3 linked regions of the Canis lupus familiaris genome follow. The protein of the gene in region 2 purifies or fractionates together with the protein of the main gene of each other region. This does not show direct contact. Links are inferred from orthologs where the notes say so. Each region holds a gene or a part of one and is shown on either strand. Other genes may lie near its edges.

Evidence for each region.
Region 1: the proteins of CD151 (region 2) and ITGB1 purify together in Homo sapiens (affinity purification with western blotting; 4 studies listed by BioGRID and IntAct, with this or other methods). This does not show direct contact. The link is inferred for Canis lupus familiaris from reciprocal best matches to the Homo sapiens genes CD151 and ITGB1.
Region 3: the proteins of CD151 (region 2) and ITGA3 purify together in Homo sapiens (co-immunoprecipitation; 4 studies listed by BioGRID and IntAct, with this or other methods). This does not show direct contact. The link is inferred for Canis lupus familiaris from reciprocal best matches to the Homo sapiens genes CD151 and ITGA3.

The regions. Positions count from the first base shown.
Region 1 is NC_049223.1:3,937,872-3,941,877, forward strand, and holds the start of ITGB1 (integrin beta-1), read left to right. Parts: upstream 1-1,206; 5' UTR 1,207-1,364; intron 1,365-4,006.
Region 2 is NC_049239.1:45,626,500-45,630,717, forward strand, and holds the start of CD151 (CD151 antigen), read left to right. Parts: upstream 1-1,418; 5' UTR 1,419-1,496; intron 1,497-2,477; 5' UTR 2,478-2,542; intron 2,543-3,432; 5' UTR 3,433-3,433; coding exon 3,434-3,514; intron 3,515-3,658; coding exon 3,659-3,850; intron 3,851-4,204; coding exon 4,205-4,218. UniProt on the Homo sapiens protein: Structural component of specialized membrane microdomains known as tetraspanin-enriched microdomains (TERMs), which act as platforms for receptor clustering and signaling.
Region 3 is NC_049230.1:26,015,393-26,019,528, forward strand, and holds the start of ITGA3 (integrin alpha-3), read left to right. Parts: upstream 1-1,336; coding exon 1,337-1,542; intron 1,543-4,136.

The DNA.
Region 1 (4,006 bases), on a different chromosome or scaffold from region 2:
TCCCCATAAATGGGCCTCCAGATTAATCTAACAAAAGGAGATCCCTAACTTACCAGTTTTTCTTTTCTCTAAAACTTTCCTAAAAATCCATCTTTCTTGGCATTGACCGCCTTCCTGTCTTCACCACCTCATACAGCCAAGTCAAGCCAACTATCCACTCCAGTCAACAGTAGTGGCTTTAGCTAATTCCCTAGAAGTTAAAGTTTGGGCCCCTGGAAGCCCCAGAGGGTGGGTGATCCTCTGGATGTGCCTGGGACTGAAGGAGATCCTGGGCTGACGGGACCACTGGGTGTGGCTCTGGGGCAGTGGACCGCAAGGCCCAGCAGGTGTTCAGCCCCAGGCTCCCGACGCCCCCCCCCCCCCCCCACGCACCTCCCTCGGTCGGTCGGTCGGCGGGAGCGGAAACTGAGGCACAGCGAAGGCCCAGTCCCAGGCCAGCTCCCACCCTGCTCCTTGGGCCTGGCCTCGGCTTTCTGGCCCCCTCCTCCTGGTCCCCCTGCTCCCGTGCTCCCCCGTCCTTGGGATCCTGCTCCCCTGCGCGTCCTCCCCTCCTCCTGCTCCCGGTCCTCGGGATCCTGCTCCCTCTGCCGGTCCTCCCCTCGTCTCCTCCTCCCCTCCTCCTGCTCCCCGTCCTCCGGATCCTGCTCCCCTGCGCGTCCTCCCCTCCTCCTGCTCCCGGTCCTCGGGATCCTGCTCCCTCTGCCGGTCCTCCCCTCGTCTCCTCCTCCCCTCCTCCTGCTCCGGTCCTCGGGATCCTGCTCCCCTGCGCGTCCTCCCCTCCTCCTGCTCCCGGTCCTCCGGATCCTGCTCCCTCTGCCGGTCCTCCCCTCGTCTCCTCCTCCCCTCCTCCTGCTCCGGTCCTCGGGATCCTGCTCCCCTGCGCGTCCTCCCCTCCTCCTGCTCCCGGTCCTCCGGATCCTGCTCCCTCTGCCGGTCCTCCCCTCGTCTCCTCCTCCTGCTCCCTCTGCCGGTCCTCCCCTCCGTCTCCCCCGCCCCTCCTCCTCTCCCGCCCGCCCGCCCTCCCTCCGCGCTCCTCCGGCGTCCTCCTCCCCTCCCCGCCTCAGGCGAGCTGACGCCGCCCGGCAGGAATGCGTTTCCGGAGGGAGGGGAGCAGGAGCGGCCGCGGCGGCCGGAGGAGCAGGAGCGGCGGGGCCGAAGAGGCGGTGCCGCGGGGGTCGTTTCCTGCCGGGAGGCGGCTCCGGGCGGCCGAGTCTCCTGCCCCCGCCCCCGAGGAGGAGGAGCCGCCGCCGCCGCCGCGCCCGAGAGCCGGGAGGCCGCGCTAGCCGTCGGGAGAGGCCGAGCCGAGTCCCGGAGTCCCGGAGCTGCAGGCCCCAGCCGACCGCGGCCCGGACGCCCCGGAGAAGGTGGCGCCGTGTGTGCGCGCGTGTGTGCGTGTGCGCGTGTGCGCGTGTGTGCGTGTGGCGGGCGGCGCGGGCCGGGGCGCCGCGGCCGGGCCTGCGTGGGGCGGGGGCGGGGGCGGGGCGGCGGGCGCGGTGGCGGGGCTGCGGGACGAAACGCTGCCCCGGGGCCGGGGCGGGGGCCGGGGCCGGGGCGGGGGCCGGGGGCCGGGGGCCGGGGGCCGGGCCGGCTGCGCCCGCCGAGGCCCGGAGCTCGTCCCGCCGCCTCGCGAGTGGGGGTCGCGGGCCTGGGCGCTGTCCCGCCGCGGTGGGGGGCCCCGAGCGCGCGGAGCGAGCCGGCCTGCCTCGTGGGCCGCCTGGGCCCGGGTTCCGCGTGCGGGGAGGGGCGAGCGGGGCCGCCCGCGGCCCGAGGCCCCGGGGCTTGGAGCGAGCCCTTGCGGCTTCCCTTTGTTCCCGGTCCCGTCGGGGCCGCTCTCCCCCGAGCGGCCTGGAGCGTAGTAGCGCGCTTCCCGCTTGCAGAAGTCGGGCCGCAGCCTTCAGGGCCTGCTGCCGGGGCTAACTGCGGGCCGGGCCCAAAGAGAGGCGGGCGTCGGGAGCCGGGGAAGGCGCGGGCTTGGCGACTTGGGGTGTGTGAGGGCCGCGCCGAGTGGGGGGTCCCTCAGCAGGGGGCCGGCCAGGGGCTCCCGCGGCTCTGCAGGAGCCAGTGCCCACCTGCCCTGGGGCCCGGCCTCTTACTGCGCCTCAATTCTTGGGCTTCCTAACAAGTTGTAGTTACTACCAATATTTTATGCCTAAGTCATTTTTATTTCATCGAATTTGTACTTTTTAGTCAAAAACTAACACTAGTAAATTACCCTCTTGGGGCTTCCATTTCCTCACCCGTAAAATGGGAACAAGAATACCTACACTAATAATAAAAGCAGCTATTCTAGTAAGGACAGTGCGGGCCGTGGTTAGCTCTACGCACTTTACCTGTGTTTATCCTGGAACCAATACAATGAGGTAGGTGCAGTTTTTATACTCATTTTACTAGTGAAGAAACTGAGGCACAGGAGGCCTAAGTAATTTGCCTCTGATCATCCAGCCTAGTGAGTGAAGAACCCATGGGGTCTAGCACCAGAGCCCATGTTTGAATCACAGGTTCAAGTAACAGGTTCCATAAAGACCATAGAGTTGTGAATATCAGATGTAATATGTAAAACAGCTTACAGTAGATGCTAAATGCATAGGACTCCTTTCTGTCTCTTCTTGATATATGAAAAAGATTTAAAAAAAAATCTCAGGACGTAATTGATCCGCTATGCTGTTATTTTTGGTTGTTTTGATGGTATAAAAATAATGTGAAATAAATGTTGGTTAGGCATTTTTCCGAAAGGGCATACAGCCTTTAGTTATATTAATAGACCACTTTTAGAAATGATTAAGGAATTTCAGGTGGAAGTTAACCTAGTCTACATCTGTGAACATCTACACCCACAGGGGATGGTAATTAAGAGTTCACTACAGTGTTCATATTTTTAAATAATTTTAGTTCATTGATCAATATTAAATGAGTGGCTTAAGATAATGAAGTGATACATAGGAAACAGAGGGACAGGTCTGTTGGGGACAGGGCTCTGGGGAAAAAGCCATTTATTTATTTGAAAATTCATAAAATGGAAGATGTTATTAGAATGTTAGCTAAAAAGACAGGGGATGTGGTTAATACTTTTGTAAATAGAAAGCAAATAAATTCCAAATGAAGGTATCTGTGTTGACTTCACAGACTTAAAATTTAGTTTTTGTAATGTTGAGTCTCTTTAAAAGAATGCTGAATTCTCCATTATGATTATTTTATATTACTATTTTATAATACCCTCAACAGTCTGTACGTGAAAAAATATAGAATCAACAATATTGAAAATTGCTAGGTTTAGTGATTTTAACAATTAGGTGGTTTTTTTCTTAACTCTCTGGTCAATATAATTAAAATCTGGCCCAAATTTCCATCACTGAATGAATATGCAGTTCTGCATGGTTATCAATAAACTCCTAACTCCAGGAGCTTCTCTGGGGACGTCTGGTCATTTTGTAATAGGCAGAATTAATCAGTTTAATGTGCCAGTTTTAACGGAATACTTGCCACATAATAGCTTTATTGTTTGGCTTCTTGTCAAATAAATTGCGGCTTACGATATGGGGGTGGGGTAGTATAACACTCTACCTCAGGAAAATATTTTTCTTTGATATTCGGTTGGTACACTGGTCTGTTCTTAACTACACTGCTGGAATGATGAGATGAAACATCTTTTGCCGGTTCAAAGTTGCAGAACTTCTGACTTCTGAGATTTTCAGTTTCTGAATGTATAAAAGCTTGAATGTATCTAAGGACTTATATGGACTCTTGTTAAATTTTAGATTTCCTCACTCTGCATGGAAAGTTAGGATGTATCAGGTTGGGGTAGAATCCTAGAGGATTATACTGTGCAAATATGAAAATATGTCTTGTGGTATTAGTGGGTCTGTTCTAACTTTGGTCATATATTGTGGGGGTTTTGTTCTTTTTTGTTGTCATAGTGGGAGTCTTGGGGAAGGGGGATGGATTGACAGGGATAACAGTAAGGAAGAGTGCCTTAGTCTTCAGGATCCTGAAATGGAAGCAGTATCTA
Region 2 (4,218 bases):
TCCCTGAGTGACTCACTGGGCGTTACTTGGAGAAGCTGCCCCTTGAAGGTGGTGCATCGTGGCTAGGGGCTGCCCATCCAGGATGTGGGCTCTATTCCGTGGACTGCCTGGCCTGCCTGCATGTAGACATGAAGGAACTGAGGAGCGGCCCGTTTCATGTTCCTCCCTGCTGGTCCCCATCCTGTCCCCATTCCATCAAACCGATCTCTGACCAGCAGAAAAACTCCTTCCTCCCAATAAAGCCCATTGACTGCACTGTGACCTCCTTGGCCTATGTGTAAAAAGCCACAGCATGCGTGTGCTACACAAATGGGGTATCCATGGTACCCTCAACCAAGTGGATGGTACCTGTGTGGCAAGGGTCCCTGGCCCTGTGGACCTGGGGCTACGGATGTCCCTGTATGTCTCTGGTCATGCCTTCAAGACCTCACTGTCCATTAAGGCTGAAGTCCCATAGGGCCCTCTGTAGGAACAGGGGGACTGAGGCCCATTGTTTCACTAAGGAGCCCGCTCCCAGCCTCCTCCCCAAACCGGTCCTCACACATACCTGGCCCTGGGTGGACCACCTCAGCCCACTTGAGGCGAGCCAGTCCTGAGCGGGACCTCCAAGGGGTAGGTCTCCAGCCACCTCTCTGTTCCTTCCTCCACCCTCTCTGGGAAGCTGGGAGCTGCTGGCCAGAACCACCAACCCTGGGCAAAGAGCTGAGGACGAGTGTTGCCCACTGTTTGCGCAGAGCTATTCTAAATGCCTGCAGATTCTGACGTCCCTCCCTGGGTCTGGGAATGAGCCTGGTGGGCTGGGGGTACGCTCCATCTCCTTAATCCCACTGTCCGTTTTGCAGTCTGGCAGGTCAGCAGGCTCCACCCGGTCTCCCTCAGCCCTTGCCAGCCCTCCCAGGACCCAGACCTCCCAGACCAGACTGTCTGTGGCAGGGACCCAGGCCATCCTGTATACTGCGCCCAGAGACCCCACTCCTGCATCCGATCGCAACTCCAGACCTCCCCCACAGAGGCCAGCATCTGTCCTGCCGACCCTGCAGCCCCAGGCGGCCCCTGCGTTTGGAGGAGAGAACCGGGAACTGGGCCTGGAGGAGGGCGCGGCCTCGGACACAGTCCAGAGCCCCGGCCGGGCGGGCCGCCGCCGTCTCCACCGCCCCCCGCTCAGCTCCTCTGTCTCCCGAGGGTATGAGTCCCTGGCGGGGCCGCGGCGCCCGCGGGCTGCAGCACGCCCGCCTCCGCAGTCCCGGGCGGACCCCGCCGCCGCCGCCGCCGCCCGCCCGCGCACTGTCGGGACCTGCCCCGCGCCCGCCGCCGTGGGCGGGGCCTGGGGCCGGGGCCGTGGGCGGGGCCTGGGGCCGTGGGCGGGGCCCGGGGCCCGGGGCGCGGGCGGGGCGCGCAGCTCTCGCAGGCCCCCGGCGGCCGCGCAGTCTCCGCACCCCGAGCCACCGCCCCCATCGCCCCTCCCCGCCCGCCCCGCCGACTCCGACGCGTGGCCGGTGAGTGCGCCGCCGGGCCAGACGGGCCGGGAGGGGCCGTGCGTCCCGGACTCCGGGGCCCAGCTGCAGGCGTCTGGAGGGAGGCCCGGGAGGCCCGGGAGGGCCCGGCCGCCGACCCGGCCGCAGCCGCCGCGCGAGCCCCTTCCGGAGGGAGCCGGCCGCCGGGGAGCCGGGTGCGCAGAGCGGCGCCCGGGTGGGCAGAGGGGCGCCCGGAGCGGGGGCGAGGCGCCCCCGGGGTTTTTGCGCAGGCCTGGCGGCCCCTTCGGCCTCATCGGAGCACCGTGGTCATTGTCTCCGGACACCGGTGCCCTTCCTTCCAACGTCGCTCGTCCGGGCGGGGGCGGCGGCTCCACGCGGTAACGCGCCGATGCCTCCCCGGGCCTGGCTGCGCGGAGCGCAGGGTCCAGTCCTGCGGGCGGGGCGCGGGCGGCCGAGACCCCCGGCTGAGTCGCAGGGTCTGGGCTGGGGCAGCTGTGTCACGGCCGCAGGAACTATCTCTGGCCGGCGCGTCCCAAGGGGGCTCGCATCCGCCAGGCACTCCCGGAAACCGGGGCCCCTCCTCTGCCGGTTGTGCGCGCGGGCCGTGGGGGCTGGGGCCTCTGCCCGGGCCCAGGGGCCGCCGTACCCCAGCTCCGCGGCAGCGGTCTGCGTCTTTTTTCCTGCCTGGCCGGCAGGTACTGCTGTTGGGCGGGGTAAGGGGCAGTGGCCGGTCCGCAGGAAGGCCCAGAGCGGGGTGCTTGGAGAAGGCGAGTGGTCCCTCCCCTTCCAGGATCACACTATCCAGAAATGTTTTCTGCCCTGCCCCGCCCAAGCCCAGACTAAAATACCGGGCCTGGCCTCTCCCCTCCCTGCCCTGGGAGTGGACGCTGCCTACTCCGGAAGCCCAGCTGGTCCGGATCCACTGCCAGAGGCGGCCACAAGGAGGGGTGATACGATCCTGCCAGCGCCGGCCAGGCCTGTGACCTGTCCCTGCCTTTCTAGTGGAGGCTCTTAGGGAACTTCCGTCCACCTGTCTTAGAGAGGAGCCAGTCTCCACCAGCAGCCAGGTAAGTGCTGGGTGGGGTGGTGAAAGTTCAGCTCTGGGTGGTGCTGTCTGTCTGGAAACGTGGGAGGGGGGGCGTCCAGCTGCCATCTGTGCCGTGGGGCCCTCTCCCACCCTCCCCAGTGCAGACTCTGCACAGCGGAACAGGCAAAGTGTCCCTTCGCATCTTGCTGGGGTTGGTGTGGCCCCCTTTCCAGTAGTGAGGACCAGCAGAGGTCTGGGGCATGTGTTTCTGCTGGCTCTGCCTGTCCAGCACCGTCTCTTCTTCCCAGCCTGGCTCTGAGAAAGGAAGGCCGTCCCTTTAACAGAAACCCAAGGGGCTTCCCTGAGGCTATGTGGCTAGTAAGGGGCCAATCAGCCTGTGTCTGAGTGGCCTCCAATCCTTCAGCCTCCAGTGGGTGCCTGCTAGCCTCTAGCCTGCCAGACTGTGACGTGCAGCTCCGGGAATGTTGTGGGGGGGAGGGATGGGCGGGGCCTGCATGAGCTCACCCTGAGGGACCTGCCGGGTCTTCCTACCCTGGCTGCCAGCAGAGGTGAGTCAGCGGTGATGCTTGGGGTCCTCCATGTCTCCTTTGTGCGCTGGGCACTGAGCAGAGAAGCCGGGCCCTTCGGCCTTCTAGGGCCTGGCCTTCAGCTTGGCTGTGGGCACCAGACACTGGCCCTGGCTGCGCTGGGGGTGGGGGCCCTCGAAGTGCTCTCCCAGGAGACATCCTGCTTCTTGTGAACACTTTCCCAGGACCTTCATTCGGGGCAGCTGGTTGGCTGGGCTTCAACCCAGGGCTTGCCTGGGCATCGGTGTCCCCCTCCCTACCATCCCCACTGGTGTCTGGCTGGCCTCCCAGTTAAGTCCTGGTGGTGTGAGCTATCTGACCTCCCCTTGCCTCTCGGCCCCAGGATGGGGGAGTTCAATGAGAAGACGACATGTGGCACCGTCTGCCTCAAGTACCTGCTCTTCACCTTCAACTGCTGCTTCTGGGTGAGGACTCCCTCCCACTGACTGCCACGGGCAGGTGTCTCCTCCCTCCCATCCCTGGTCCCTGAAGGGAGCCTTGGCCTGGGGGCTCAGCCCCATCCCTTAGACCTGGGGCCAGATGTGCTGACCAGTGTGCACTGCCCACAGCTGGCTGGTCTGGCCGTCATGGCAGTGGGCATCTGGACGCTGGCCCTCAAGAGTGACTATATCAGCTTGCTGGCCTCGGGCACCTACCTGGCCACAGCCTACATCCTGGTGGTGGCTGGCGTTGTCGTCATGGTGACTGGCGTTCTGGGCTGCTGTGCCACCTTCAAGGAGCGGCGGAACCTGCTGCGCCTGGTTAGTGGGGGCTCCCCACTAGGCTGTCTGGGCTGGATCTGAGAAGGAAAGGAATGTTGGGGGTCAGGTGTGACATTGGAGAATAGCCTGTGCTGTGCTTATCTGTGCTGGGGGGGGGGGGGCACTTGTCCAGCCCTGAGTCCCCACATCCCAGCTGGGCTAGCTGAGGGAAGACACCAGCTCTGAGGGAAAGCATCAGGGACCGCCAGCACCCACCTGCTGCCCAGAGCCCTCTGTGGCCACTTGGGATCGGAGGCTGGGGGCTCTGCTCTGCAGTGCTGGACACTGGGAGTCCTCATGGGATAGGACTGCATGTGTCCAGTCCCACCTAACTGGGTCCCTGCTCACCCCCAGTACTTCATCCTGCT
Region 3 (4,136 bases), on a different chromosome or scaffold from region 2:
ATTCTTCTGAGGATGACCGGGCCTTTGGGCCCTGCCCACCTACCTCCACCTAGTGCCACTCACTACACACCTACGGAGGCTGGCGTCCCCGCCCCATCTCCAAACACTCAGGCTGAGCCCGGGTAGGAGGAGGAGGAGACATTTGGGATTCTGCTGTGCCGGGCCCTGAAGGCAGGAGCGGATGAGATATGGGTGCAGTCTGGGCCCAGTTCCCTGGCCACACAGTGCATTCTAAGGAGAAGGGACTCATTTACACGCCGGAGGGTGTATGAGGGATACCAGAAGGCGGAGCCCTGTGGGGGAAGTGCTGTCTTGCTGCTCATTACAATTAGCAACGCTTGGTTAGTACCACTGCTAAATATCTGTCGGGCTTTGCCGAGGGAACATATCCAGCCCGGGTCAGGGTGGGTGGGTGCGGGCGGGCCAGAGAAGCACATCTGGACAAGGACAGCGAAGGGCCTGGGTGCGAGGAAGAAGGCCCAGAGACCGCCAACCGCCTCTCAGGGATTCACAGCGCTGCGGAGGCGAAGCCGGCATTGCCCCGAGCGGCGCGCAGATGTGGGCTCCCAGATGCGCCAACGCCGGGGCTCTCCAGCCGGCCCGCCGAGGTGGCCGCGCCGGGAACGGCCTTGCCAGCAGCAGCAGCGGCCGGAGCCCAGCCTCCAGACAAATCCCACCCCCGGCCCCGCCCGGCCAATCCATCTTGCTCGGGAGGTGACGCTTCCTAGGAGAAGCAAGGGGCGGAGAGGGGAAACCCAAGCCTTTGGGGGCTCCCGACAGGTGTTTGGGGGAGAGGGCGGAGCCTGGTCGGGGAGGATGAGGAGGGAGGGGCGGTGCTGCCCCTTTAAGAGGCGGTGGCGGAGCCGGGACCTTTTCTCTTTCCCCGGAAGGAAAGCGGAGCCCCGGCTGGGCGCGCAAGGTGGGGAGGTGCGGGGCTGGGCGTGGAGGCGGGGCGCGCGCGGAGAGGACCGCTCCCTCCCGTCTTCCTCGCGATCCACGGGTCTGCGTTCCCAGATCCGCCGCGGAGCCCAGGGCGAAGGGGGCGCGGCCGGGACGAGCCGGGGGCAGTGCCCGGGGCGGGGGGGCCGTGACCGGCGGCTGGGCAGGCGGGACGGTAGACCGGCGAGCCTCGGAGAGGAATCGGGGCGCGCAGACCCTGGGCGGACGTGACACCGACGCGGCTGAGGGCCAGAAACTTCGCAGCGCTGCGGGGCTCCGGGACGCGCCCGCCGGAGCGGTCTCCGCGGTCCCCCGCCGAGCGCGCGGCAGGTGGACGGGTCCTGGCTCCCAGCGCCGGGCGCCCCCGCCCCCCGCCCCCGCCCCCGCCCCCGCAGCCATGGGCCCGCGCGCCCGCCGCGCCGCCTGCGTCCCGCGCCCGGTGCTCTGCGCGCTCGCCTTGATGGTGGCCGCCGGCGGCCGCGTCGCCTCCGCCTTCAACCTGGACACCCGATTCCTGGTGGTGAAAGAGGCCAGGAACCCGGGCAGCCTCTTCGGCTACTCGGTCGCCCTCCATCGGCAGACGGAGCGGCAGCGGCGCTACCTGTAAGTGAGGCGGGCGGGGCGGGGCGGGGCGGGGCGGGGAGACCGTGCGCGCGCCGGTGCGGATCCGAGCCTGGGCGCAGCCTGGCTTCCAGGCCCGCGGGCCGCCGGCTCTAGTGACCGGGATTAAGGGGGCGGGGGCCTGGGCAGCCCTTCTGCGGCCGAGGTCTGGCGGCAAGTGGAGGGAGTGGGTGTGGGATGGGGTCAGCAGTCATTAGCAAGTGCTGACCGGCCGGAACCTGCCTAAACTCAGCCCCTCAACCCTTTAAACCTCTCTTGAAAGTGGAAGTGGGGTCCCCGTTTCCCAAGCCCCCTCCCACTCTGTCGACCTAGTATCTAATCTATGAATACTTCTCTCCAGGGCTGGGACCTGGGGAAAACTGCAAGGTAAACACTCAGTGGAACCCTCTATCCCCTTTCCTGGGAAGAACCTGTGGGCATGTGTGTTTAACACCTCCCCCCTCCCGCCCGCCGGCCTTTACACCTTGCGTTTAGTCTGCCTGCCTGCGGGCCATGCCAGCCACACCCTCTGCAGAGCCAGACTGGAGGGCCTTCTAAGGGGCTTGGCGCTTGGCGGTTGCAGGGTGAGGTGATGGGCGAGTCTGGGCATTTGGAGCTGTCCGGGAGCTCCCTCTGACCCCTTGAAGATGGGGAAGTAGAGGGAGCTGTCCGGACTCCTGCTTGGTCTCCTGCCCCCACCGCACCCCCAGCAGGGACGCCCTCCCACCAGACATCTTCCCCACATTCCACAGATTCATGTTGAATCTTCAACCCTGAGTGTGTTTGTTTTGGTTTGAAGAGGGAAATGGTGTTTTTCTCTTCTGTTAGACTTCCCCCCCCCTGACAGCTGTAAGGAGAAGGAAGGGGGGAGAGCTACCCACAGGAGAGAGGAGAGAAGGAGATTGCATCCAGCTGTTTGTTTCCTACCCTGCTTCCTGCTTCCCGCTGCCACCGGCACTCTCCTGCCTAGAGTCCAGGTTTCAGGGATTTTTCTTCTGTAGGCTCAGGTGCTGAGGTTGACAGCCAGGGGAAGAAGGCCGCTGGGGGAGGGGAGGGGAGGCTACCCCAGGAGAGAAGGTGTTAGGAAAGGTCAGGCAGGCCCCACCTAAGTCTCTGGGCTGGGGGACCTACCAGACAGCTATCCCTACCTGGTGTCTCACTCCACTGAGCAAGAGGACATGGTCTGATACAGGGTGTATTGTAACCTTTCTCAACTCTGGCTGGAGCCTGCAGAAACTTGAGGAAGCTTGGAATGTCCAAAGTCCAAACTCTGCCCCAGCCTTGGCCTCTGCCCTGTCGGCCCAGCCCCTGCCCAGTATACCTATCTACCTGGGCCTCCATCTAGCTTCTGCAGAGGCTAAGGCCACCACATCCTTCCCAGCGCAGCACCATGCCCTCGGCCAGCCTTTCATCTTTTGCAGACCTTAAAAGTGACCATCAGCACAAGTTTCTGTATTGGCGCTTTTTCTGCCCCAGCCCAGAAAAAGATTTTCTGACTTTCCAGACTGACTCTGCATGATATAAAGCAATGCAGTGTAAAAAGAAGATCAGGAAAGCAAGAGTAAATAATGAAAAGCTGGAGTAGATAATGGGCTCTGTAAACCCCGCTCCCCATCCCCCCTACCCACCATGTGACCTTGAGCAAGACATTTCCCTTCTCTGGGCCAGTTTTCTCCAAAAAGGGGTTGGACCTGGATCTATAGAGTCCTTCCTGCCTCTGTTGGCCTATAAGAGGCAGCTTGCGATTGGAGAGAGAGAAGAGGCGAGGCGCCGGAGTCCCACTGCCACATTCCAGTCTCGGAACTGTCACTAATACCTGAGTCTTAACGTCTCTACATGTTGGCGGAAGGAGGCGGGGCAGCATGCCTTCTTCATGAGGTGCCAGTGGGGCTCTCTAGTGAGACAGCGTGTGTAAAAGGCTCTGTACATGCCTGTGTCTCCGGGGAGCAGTTAGTGCTCTTGTGCTGAAGCCAGGCTCTTACTACCCATGTGCCTCACCCAAGATGGCTGAGCAGAGGGGCTTTACCTTTCTTCCTGGGTGGCTAGAGATGGCATTAGACCTGCTAAGAGCCCAGGAGGTTCTAAAGCTAATGACCCTTGGAGAGGCAGGAAGTTCTAAACAGAGGTCTGGGCCATTCTCTTGGGTATCCTGTCTTTCCCCAGGGTAGTTCTATATCTTGGTTCATCTCCTCTTCTTGCTGAATTCTGCCCCTTGGCCCTTTGGGAGAGCCAGCTGGGCCATCTGGTCTTAGTTGCAGCCAGCTGTATAGCCAGATGTGAACAGCTGCCTGAGTGCACAGCTTAGGGCAACCAACAAGTCAAGTCTTATATTCTGTTAGTCTACAAGTCCTTTTGGAAGAGGGGAGAGGTTTCATGGTCATGAATAAAAACTCTTAGCCTGGGGCTCATAGAAGGTTTGCAGGAGGTGCAGGGACCCCTGAAAATACATGTAAAATCATGCATCTGTGCGTTGTTCTGCGGGCAGGAGGAGGGGAAGAGCACAGTTTTCATCATATTCTCAAAGATGGCCTTATTCTAGAAATGGTTAGAAACCCAGGTGTGGACCCTCTTTGTTCCCTATCTCTTTTGTCTCTGGG